Linked DNA regions of Daphnia pulex. The protein of the gene in region 1 interacts with the protein of each later gene in a pairwise test. Links are inferred from orthologs where the notes say so. Each region holds a gene or a part of one and is shown in the gene's direction. Other genes may lie near its edges. The genes, in order: SUMO-conjugating enzyme UBC9-B, uncharacterized protein LOC124207367 and double-stranded RNA-specific editase 1-like.

Evidence for each region.
Region 2: the proteins of SUMO-conjugating enzyme UBC9-B (region 1) and uncharacterized protein LOC124207367 interact in a two-hybrid assay, tested with the Homo sapiens proteins (2 studies listed by BioGRID and IntAct). The link is inferred for Daphnia pulex from reciprocal best matches to the Homo sapiens genes UBE2I and DACH1.
Region 3: the proteins of SUMO-conjugating enzyme UBC9-B (region 1) and double-stranded RNA-specific editase 1-like interact in a two-hybrid assay, tested with the Homo sapiens proteins (2 studies listed by BioGRID and IntAct). The link is inferred for Daphnia pulex from reciprocal best matches to the Homo sapiens genes UBE2I and ADARB1.

The regions. Positions count from the first base shown.
Region 1 is NC_060018.1:633,037-635,762, forward strand, and holds SUMO-conjugating enzyme UBC9-B, read left to right. Parts: upstream 1-858; 5' UTR 859-1,011; exon of another isoform or gene 1,012-1,105; 5' UTR 1,106-1,114; coding exon 1,115-1,180; intron 1,181-1,255; coding exon 1,256-1,339; intron 1,340-1,452; coding exon 1,453-1,570; intron 1,571-1,632; coding exon 1,633-1,777; intron 1,778-1,847; coding exon 1,848-1,926; 3' UTR 1,927-2,086; downstream 2,087-2,726. Other genes in the region: receptor-type guanylate cyclase Gyc76C-like, read right to left, coding at 2,526-2,726. UniProt on the Homo sapiens protein: Accepts the ubiquitin-like proteins SUMO1, SUMO2, SUMO3, SUMO4 and SUMO1P1/SUMO5 from the UBLE1A-UBLE1B E1 complex and catalyzes their covalent attachment to other proteins with the help of an E3 ligase such as RANBP2, CBX4 and ZNF451.
Region 2 is NC_060018.1:6,753,842-6,757,596, reverse strand, and holds the start of uncharacterized protein LOC124207367, read left to right. Parts: upstream 1-1,179; 5' UTR 1,180-1,837; coding exon 1,838-2,982; intron 2,983-3,755. UniProt on the Homo sapiens protein: Transcription factor that is involved in regulation of organogenesis. Seems to be a regulator of SIX1, SIX6 and probably SIX5.
Region 3 is NC_060021.1:11,145,733-11,149,487, reverse strand, and holds the start of double-stranded RNA-specific editase 1-like, read left to right. Parts: upstream 1-1,548; 5' UTR 1,549-1,700; exon of another isoform or gene 1,701-1,712; intron 1,713-1,806; 5' UTR 1,807-1,840; coding exon 1,841-2,438; intron 2,439-2,502; coding exon 2,503-2,686; intron 2,687-2,754; coding exon 2,755-2,898; intron 2,899-2,961; coding exon 2,962-3,290; intron 3,291-3,354; coding exon 3,355-3,590; intron 3,591-3,654; coding exon 3,655-3,755. UniProt on the Homo sapiens protein: Catalyzes the hydrolytic deamination of adenosine to inosine in double-stranded RNA (dsRNA) referred to as A-to-I RNA editing.

The DNA.
Region 1 (2,726 bases):
AGTGCAATGGTAAAAATAAAGACAGACTCACAACAATATTACATAGCACACTACGTTTCCAAGCAAGAAATTAGTTTAAAAACTGGCACATGTAATAATCTTTGAACTATACAAAATAGTGATTCAAGCACTATTGTTTTGTGAAATCACCAATACATCATATCTAATGAGTATTTAACAGGATATTTTCCGCTTTGAGATACCCAAGTATGTTTCATTCCCTTCCACTTTGGCACTAACACATTCAACCCTTCTATGCGAGAAGTACCTAGCTGAAACAACCATAATAGGGAATAACAGATCTTCATTTAATAAATTTAGAGTTTGTGACCTAATATGACAAATTAACTGATGTTTTCATACCTTTCTGAACATTCTATATCAATTTTGTAGTTTCCCCATCCACAAAGTTAAACTGAACTGAGGCTTTAGGATTAGAGATTATATCATTCTTAATTCATTCGAGACATGGTTGTTTGCACCTTTTTTCGTTTTGTCTTCGTGTGATACCTTTGTGGTTTGTCACTAGTTGATTCACGTGTTCGAATATTCTGGAAGCATTACGTAAACGACGCTTGGCTTGTCTCGAATGTTGAACGATCAAAGCTACATGAGATGGAAGATATCAATGATTTTTTTTAACACTTGATTTTTCAATTTGGAATTTAAACAAAATACAAGAACTTAAGATGCATGCCTGTGTGACTCACTGCTCTGTTGTTTTTTGAACCATCTGGGCGCCATCTTTCATAGGCAGTGGCAGCATAGCCAGTTCATTTTTAATTTTAGTTGATGAAAACTAAAACTAAAAATGCTTATGCATGCTACAGCCAAAATGGTTTGATTTCATTGAAATCCATATTTTACATGCAAATGTTTCATCATTTATTCGTTTAAATCCCCAAATTAAATTTTAAATTGATTTGTAATTATTCGAATTACCTTAAGGCAACCCTGGCAATAATTGTACGAAACTACACAGCTAAATTATTTGGCAGCCGTTGAAAAAAGGTAACTATTATTTATTTAAGAGCTGTTGCATCTTGCTTTCTTCAGTCATATTCACACTTTCTTATTACATCACACTGAAATTTTTATTCTCTAGTGACCAATAATGTCCGGTATTGCTATTGCTCGACTTTCTGAGGAACGTAAAGGCTGGAGGAAAGACCATCCCTTTGTAAGTTGCTGGTTTGCCAAACGATAGTTGTTGGGTTGTGTGTGTTTGATTTGTGTATCTTTGCGTTGCCTTTAGGGTTTTGTTGCCAGGCCCACAAAGAATCCTGATGGAACCCTCAATTTGATGAACTGGGAATGTGCTATTCCAGGCAAGAAATCGGTAATGAGTTTTACACTTAAAGATCTTACTTCACATTGGTGTCAGATATACTTACCAAATTCACTGTTGTTTGAAGTAACAATATTAAGTGTAACTTGTGCATACATTTACAGACTCCCTGGGAAAATGGATTGTACAAAATCCGTATGATTTTTAAAGATGACTACCCCTCTTCTCCTCCAAAATGCAAATTTGAGCCCCCACTTTTCCATCCAAACGTCTATCCATCAGGTTGAATCAAATGGCTATTTGAGTGTTTTGTTTTAGCTAACCTTTTGGCATTTAATATCCAGGCACAGTTTGTCTATCATTGTTGGATGAAGAAAAGGACTGGAGACCTGCAATTACCATCAAACAGATTTTGCTTGGAATTCAAGATCTCCTAAATGACCCCAATATTAAGGATCCGGCTCAGGCAGAAGCTTATACTATCTACTGGTAATGATTTTTACACCAGTAGACAACTTGAAAGTTTGGATTGTAATATTTCATTTGATTATTTCTCCAGTCAAAATCGAATGGAGTACGAAAAACGTGTTAGAGCACAAGCCAAGGCTATGGCTGCCACCACTGATTTGCTGTCTTAATTTCCCAAGTAAATCCAGCTGTCAAGGAATAAGTTAACTTCTTTTTCTTTTCCACGTGCTCTATTTGTTTTTTAAAAATTCTTATTGTCTTCATTTCAATACTTACTTATCGTCCAGAAAACATACTCCGATCTGAAATAAAACGCTAAGTAAGGTGTAACACTTGTTGACCTTTTTTTTTTTCAATTACGTCACTTGACTATTTTATTTGGTTGTGACCTACTTTGTTGATATGCGTTTTATCTGGCGAATATCTGATTATGAAGACCAAACTTCTTTTAACTACTAGAATTCATCAAAGGCTCTCTTACCTGATTAAAATTTGAACTAAATGGGTTATCGATGTACAAAGTGCAAAACAAGGTATGTAAAACAACAACCGATTTATCACAATATTTTCAGCAGCGACAATATTACAGATACACTAAAATCAAAGAAAACATTCCGACTTGAAATCGATTAAAAATCTTAACCGAGAAGAATCGGAGATCGGGTATGGCATTTTCAAATGGCGAAATATACGAATCACGAAACAAGTAAAGCAAATTTGTCATCATGTAAAAAGACTGTGGAGGATGCAAGAATAAGGAGGCGCAATTTCACACAACGCTTTCTCTGTCATCACGGTGGAGGTCGGAAAAGTCCTCTCCCGTCTGCGGATTCCGACTAAAAGCATCACCTCCGTGACCCACGCCGAACAGATTGACTATCCACCGCTTGACGTTGGGCACGCTCTTGCTAACAGTGGGGGCGATGACCGTGTCTTTGCCTTCTTTACCGAGTCTCTCGCCCGATGTCGA
Region 2 (3,755 bases), about 6.1 Mb from region 1:
TGCCAATAAATCTTTGATGATTATGGCTACAGATATTGCAAATAAATGAAGCAGAAGTCCTGTGTTGATGACCAAAAAAAAACACAACAAAATACACTCATGGGAAGAATGGAAGCGAAACGATTCCGCAAGACAAAAAAGAAAAAAGAGAGACGGCCCTTGGCACACACACACATAATAGCGGGACGGGACTACTAGTTGGCATTTGGGTCCGCGCGCGTTAGATTTCCCGTTTGTTGCGGGAGAACCAATGGGACTGTGTATTTCTCGGCTTGTTCACAGTCGAACAAGTCGGATTGTGCATCCAATGGGAGACGGAATAAGGCGGGATTAGTCGAAAGGAGTTGGGCCGGCGCAGAGCCGCAGAGGGTTCGGCCTCTTTTCTTCATATATCCCCCCCCCTTTTTTTTTATCCACCCACCCACCAACACCACCCACCTCCTTCTCTGTTCGCCCGTTTGTCTTTCGGACACATGAAAAGGACTCACGAATTCCATTTCCACTTCACGTGCACAATTATCACGTCCCTTTTGAGACAAGAAAAAGAAGAAAAGAAAAAAGAAAAATGAAAAATGAAAAATGAAAAAAGAAGATGGACGGAAAAGATTGGGCGTCCGGGTGGGTGTCGGAGAGGCGACCCTCTTCGTGCTCCGTGTCACAACGATGATGTACACCGGCGAGCATACAGATCGAATGGGAGAAAAAGATGGAAGATGAGAGAGGAAAGAAGAAAGAAGAAAGAAAAGAAAAAAGAAGAAGAAATCTAAGCACAAAAGAGAAGGGAGGAAATCGTGGGAAACGGAGAAAAGGCCGCGCGCGCAGTCGGTGCCACTGTAGGAGGTCCAGCTCCTACCGAAGAAGGTGGGCGTGACCGGCAGACGGTTAAGGAGGCCCTCCGATTGGCGCTCGATCGGGGCAGTCCCCCAGCCGGCGAATGGGACGTCCCCTACGGGTGACGGACCCCGCCCCGTCGACTGCTCCTGGGCCAACCTTTTTTCCGTGTGTTTTTTCCCCCCTCTTTGCCAAGGACGGCCAAGGAGACGGATCTGCCTCTCTTTTGCCCCGTTTCGATTCCTGGCCATTTCCTGCGAGTGCCCGCCCTTTCTCGCTTTTGACTCCGGCACTCGGATCGGCTGTGTGGCGCTGCTGCCGGCCCCTTAGCTTTTCTCTCTCTCTCTTCAGTTCCAGTTCCAGTTGTTAGAACATACCTCCGTTTCGGCCGGCCCTCTTCCATCTGCGATTGCCTCTTGTGCACTTCTAGTGGCCAGTCGGACTCTGGACTCAGTCCGAAGCTGTTCGTTCTACTACGTGACTCTTACTCGTTTTTCTCTTTTTGTTTCTGCCATTTCTTCTTTTGACATCAGACAATTGAACCCTCGGCTAGTATTCGTCCATCACCACTGTGACGTGCCACTTCTTGCCAAGTGGAGTGCCCGACAGCTGTGACACTGAAATCAAAAGAAATCGAAAACAACTTTTTGACACAAAAGTGACCAACTTATTCCAAAAAGGGCCGGCTCGTTGATTCACCTGTTAGCCTAGACTGGTTTTTTGTTTTCCGTCACGTGCGTCACATTTCTGATTACATTTTTTAAAATAAGTTATTGCGTTTAGTGCTGTGTTGAGTGATTCGCCCGTGTGACAAGTTCCAGTCTGACAAAGGAAGAAAATAATAAGGCCGTTGGTTAATTTGAAATTTTGTCGTTTGTGAGTGACCCGAGTGGAAGGGAAGTCAGTCAGAGTCGACTGCTGACTTATTTGTTTTTATTGGCTGGACCATCGGTCGAAAAAAAGACGGGCCGGAAAGAATTATTTCACTAGTGGTTGGGGGCGAGAAATGATAACGGCCTCATCGTCGGTCCAGTCGCAAGTGTCGACGGGCAACAAGTTACGCAACTCGCCTCTGTCGTTCAGCATGTCTCTATCGCCCGGCGCAGCCAGTTCTGCTAGTCCGGCTTCATCAGTGGCCGATTCGGCGGCGTCAGGAGTTTCAGGAGCCGGAGCCGGAAGGTCCGCAACGCCCAGTCCCGACCGGAACAACTTGTCGTTGGATCACCGTCGCAGTCCGGTCGGCCGGTCGTCGCATCACTTGGTGGGCGCTGCCGGACACCCGCACGACCTCTCCTCCTACAATCCCATCCGCCGGCCCAGCTCGGCCAACAGTCCGCCCGTCCGCGACAGCCCGCCCAGCCGAGGGGAGGCCAACCTCAACAGCCACTCGGCCGCCCTGCAGGCCTCGCTGTCCGGCTCGCTTCACGGGCCCGGCATGTCGTCGTCCATGTCGTTCGCCGCTCTGCACGCGGCCGCAGCGGCCGCCGCCGCCAACCAGAGCGCCCTGCTCCACGGCAAAGCCGGCCTGCTGGGCGGCATGGGCCCTGGCGTGCCCGTTTCGCTGGCCGGACTGACGGGCATCCCCGGCATGCCGGACGGCTACCACCCGGGCCTCTATCTGGGCCACCCGGCAGCAGCCGCAGCGGCCGCAGCGGCCGCCGCCGCCGCCAACATGCAGAACGCCGAGCGTTCGCTGTACGGGCACGGCCACCACCACGGCGGCCACTCTCACGGGATGCACTCGGGCGGCGGTGGTGGCGGGCACGGCCAGAACAGCCACCACCATCACCACAGCAGCGATCGCTCGCCGTACAGCAGCCACAGTCCGCCGCCCATTTCCAGCACGGACCCGACGGCCAACGAGTGCAAGTTGGTGGACTACCGCAACCAGAAGGTGGCGGCCTTCGTCATCCACGGCGAGACGATGCTGTGCCTGCCGCAGGCCTTTGAGCTCTTCCTCAAGCACCTGGTCGGCGGCCTGCACACCGTCTACACCAAACTCAAGCGGCTGGACATTGTGCCGCTCGTCTGCAACGTCGAGCAGGTCCGCATCCTGCGCGGGCTCGGCGCCATCCAGCCGGGCGTCAACCGCTGCAAGTTGCTCTCCTGCAAGGACTTTGACATCCTCTACAGGGACTGCACCACTGCCAGGTAATCAATCCAAAACTTGACTTACTGATTATTATTTCTTATTTGATATATTTAGTTCCAGCTCTATATAGTCGATTTAAGTCCGGCTAATCATAAATTGAGCGCATAGGCTGACACTTGATTCACGTTCAGAAACGTCTAGCATTTGATTTATGTGTCAGCGAATAATATTAAAAAATAAGAATAAGTTATATAGATAAGAGAGATGATGATGAGATTGTGACCGGTGCGTTGTGCTGCTGGCCTGGCCCATCATCATCTGCTGTGCGTCTCAGCACGAAGTCGTCCCAGAAACCCTTTTCTTTTTTTCGTTTTCTTTTCTTTGATTTCTTTCTCTCCTGTGCTGGACTTTATATTCTTTCTTCTCTTTTCGGGGACGGCCCTTGTTATTAGAGAGACTGCGCGGCATCTCTTTTGGCTGCCCAGCAGTGATCAGATAAGCGCTGAGCCGCGTCCAATATACAGTACATCAACGGACTCTGATTCCGTCCCGATAAATCAAACATCTGCTAATGTGCTCCGGGCGCAATATCATCAGGTCCTTTTTTTTCTCACTTTTTGATTTTTCAAAATTCGAGTCGCCGGCCGAGATAATCTCCCGGCCGCTGGCCCACGATGAGGGGACGACATTTTGCCCCTTTACTATTAGAGATGAGAGAAATGGAAACAGCATCCAGTTGCGATGAGATGGAAATGTCTAACGGTGCATCCGGGCCAGCTTTTTTATTTATTTTATTTTATATTTTAAAATAATAATGTAGTCGTCATGTGCC
Region 3 (3,755 bases), on another chromosome or scaffold:
CACGGCATTCGTCGGAGCCGAAATGAGGCCGAGGTACTGTATTGTCTATTGGCAAGCGGCAGCAACTTGGACGTCAAATCCTAGTCTATAATGGGCGTGAGTCTTCATTTTTGTTTCACCGCTGCGTTCGTTTGCTTTGCGCCATATAACCTTGGAAAGAGAATGCGGTGGCCGCGCTGCGGTCGACCGTTTTTTTCTTTTTTTGGTTTCCACACGCTCAATCGACACATTTTTACGCGCAAAGTTATCATGACTGTAACAACATTTTATCGGTTCAAAGTAATTATCTTAATTATGGAATTGCCAACGGTTTACAGTCCCCTGATGGTGAAACGGCTACTCATTCTTTAATGCTCGTCATTAATAATTATCGTCAAGGAAGTAACGTAGGTAAATTGCAGACGCACTTGTAACTTTTTTTTATCTTTTTTTTTCGGGAGGGTAAATTGCGATTGCCATCATTTCGACGCTATCACGTGATCAGCTGAGCTGAGAACGTGGACCGCTGTTTTGGGTGCAACAGTGCTGGTGCAAGAGTCCCGGCGTTTTTTAATAGAAATAAACGTACATACATAATAGTAGTGGCTTATATATATTCAACAACCTAAATTTTCATATCGGAAGTCCCAGCCAACTTGAAAGTGATGGATCGTAATCACCGTTGCGTGATGAACTCAATGCCGAACGGTGCGAACATGCGAAACGGCCAACAACAACAACAACAATAGGAAATAGTAGACTCGACTAGACAACACGCAAAATTTACTATACAGGCTAATTACTTTTGTTGTTTGGATCGAGAGAATTTGTGTTTGCGACTGATTGGGATAAAAATCGAGAATAAAATATTGTAGTTGGCATCCGGGAGTCGGAGCGGAAGTTGTTGGCGATAAAATCCGGGCAGGAGAAAAGAGGTGTCGGACTCGTGAGATCGACTGTCGGCCTTCGTTTAAGAGTCGCTGCTCAATCCTGTTGCGTCATGTACAGACAACAACTTTTAGGAGAAGAAAAGGAACTTTTTTTCCGTGTGCAGGATGAACCCAGGCTGATTATTAGCTGGCGCGTAGCACATCCGCTAGAACAACAACCAAAAAGAACTAAATTCTAAAAAATAAGAAGAAGCGATTAGAACAAATCAGAGAGATATAATTTTTTTAAAAAAAGATAGAAAAGTAAATCAATACCACGAGACCTTTCGACTCTTGTAGCTGCTGAAGGCGCCGCTGGGCTTGGCCACAGAGAATTGCCCGAGGAAGAAAGCCAATCTGTCTCACGCTCGACTCATCATAAACTTGATCCCAGCACAGATGTCTACTTGCCCCGTTGGCGTAATCACGCAACATTGATATGTCTTTGGCATTATAAATGACACACAATCCGATGGGGGCCAGAATATACTCCGTGTGTAATAAGGAACGATCGGAAATGTCGGCAAAGTTCAACCACCGAAAAACTTTGTCAGTTATCTAATAGATGGCTACAAAAATCAATACATTTTGATTGATTTCTATCGATCGGCGATTTAATCATTCTCCAAAGTATGCAACACAAAAGAAAGAAAAACCCGTTATTCCCGCGAATCAAGCAGATGGCGAATCGATAAGCGATGCAAATCGTGGGATTTTGAATTGTCTTTTATTGACTTGGAAAAGCTTTGCGGACTATTCCGCAGCACGTATAGTCTCATCGTCCCATCACTGGTGTGTGTATACGTAAACACTTCTTTTTGTTTCGTTGTTCTCCGATTTCTTTACCTTTTAACAAAATTATAAGTCCTCCTTTTGATCTGCTTTTTAATATTGATAGAATTCATTTCCAAGTCGTATTGTCAAGATTTTGAATGGAAGTAGTAACGACTGGAGTATCGAGACCGTGGAGCAGCACAAAGATGACTAGTAAACACGATGATGGCCCACCAAAGAAGAAACGAAAGAAGAATACTGAACCTGTGGCCGTTGGCCAAAAAAATCCCGTAATGGTTTTGAATGAAATCAAACCGAATATCGTCTACGACATTGCAGCATCTGGACCACCTCATGCCAGAATTTATGCTGCATCTGTCACTTTAAATGGCAAGACCTACAGTGCCGAAGACACAACCAAGAAGAAAGCCAAGGCGAAAGTCGCACAAATGATCCTCCTCTGCTCGGTTCAGCTGAAAGATCCCAGTGTCAAAGCCCCTCTGATGGAAGAAATTATGGGTGAAGCTGAAGACTTTAGCAAAGATCTCTCAGAGGTTGTTTGCAGCTCTGAAGACTTTTATTCTTTTGAAACAGCTGTCACTGATAAAGTGAAAGCATTGCCCATGGCATCTGTGAGCAACGCTGAACAAGCCAAGAACAATCCTGTTTTCTACCTCAACCGTCTGAAACCTGGGATCAAAATTGAAATAGTCAAGGAGGAAGGAAGTCCTCATTTGCCAATTTACACTGCACGAGGTAATTGATTTGAAATTTGTTTCTGTTTTTTTGTGGTAATCATTTTTCGTTTTTATTATTCAAGTTGTCATTGGGGATCAGCCCTTTGAGGGAACTGGTTCAAGTAAGAAACAAGCCAAGAACGAGGCTGCACAAGCCGCCCTACAGAAGGCGTTTGGCTTGGAGCGCACCAACCCACCCAAACCACCCTCAGCGGCCACATCATCTGAAAAACCCACCGAGGCTGAATTTGGAGATTTTATAGCAAGGTAAACCTTACGCCCCATTTGATAAGGAACAGTTGGAATTTGATCAATGTATTTATTTTTTTTTCTAGACAAATTGAGAGCACGTACCTCGAAATGATGAAAAACGAGCAGCAAAGTTTATCACGCTACAAAGTTTTAGCTGGAGTTGTCATGACCCAAGGGCCGACATCAGATGGGGCCACGGTTATATGCGTCACTACCGGGAGCAAGTGGTAATTTTCATTTTTTCAGCAATTTTCAATTTTTCAATTTTCAATTCAATTTTTAATTTTCAGCATCAACGGTGGCCAACTGAGTATGGAGGGAGAAGCCCTAAACGATTGCCACGCTGAGGTGTTGGCCCGAAGAGGTTTAGTCAGTTACCTCTACGACCAGTTGAACATATTCAATTCCAATCCGTCCGATTCGATTTTTGAGTCTCCAAGCGGCAGTCAAAACTTGAAACTGAAGAGCGATGTTCTGTTTCACTTATACGTGAGCTCCGCACCTTGTGGAGACGCTCGTATTTTCACACTTAACGAGTCACTTGCCTCACCTCTCGAAGATCTCCATCCCAATCGACAAGGAAGAGGAGCTCTTCGAACCAAAATCGAATCAGGAGAAGGTTTGACTAATTTAAATATTATTTTTTATTTCATGCAAAAATGATAAATGTTAATGGTCGATAGGTACTGTGCCGGTGAATGAGTGTGCCATTCAGACGTGGGACGGCATCCTTCAGGGCGAGCGACTATTGACCATGTCTTGCTCTGATAAACTCGCCCGATGGAATGTTGTGGGTATTCAAGGATCTTTACTCTCCAACCTAATTGACCCGATCTACTTCCATACAATTGTGGTAGGCAGCCTGTTTCACCAGGTTCATTTACGAAGGGCCCTCATTGGCAGGATTGAACATCTACAGGTATTATTATTATTTGGTTTCGCGAATTAATGTCACAGTTTATAAATTAATTGTATCAAATCAGGGTCTTCCATCGCCGTTCATCTTTTCCCGGCCTGTTTTGTCGACGATTACCACCCCACCGGACCGCTTACCAGCCAAATCTCCCAAGAACAGCATCATTTG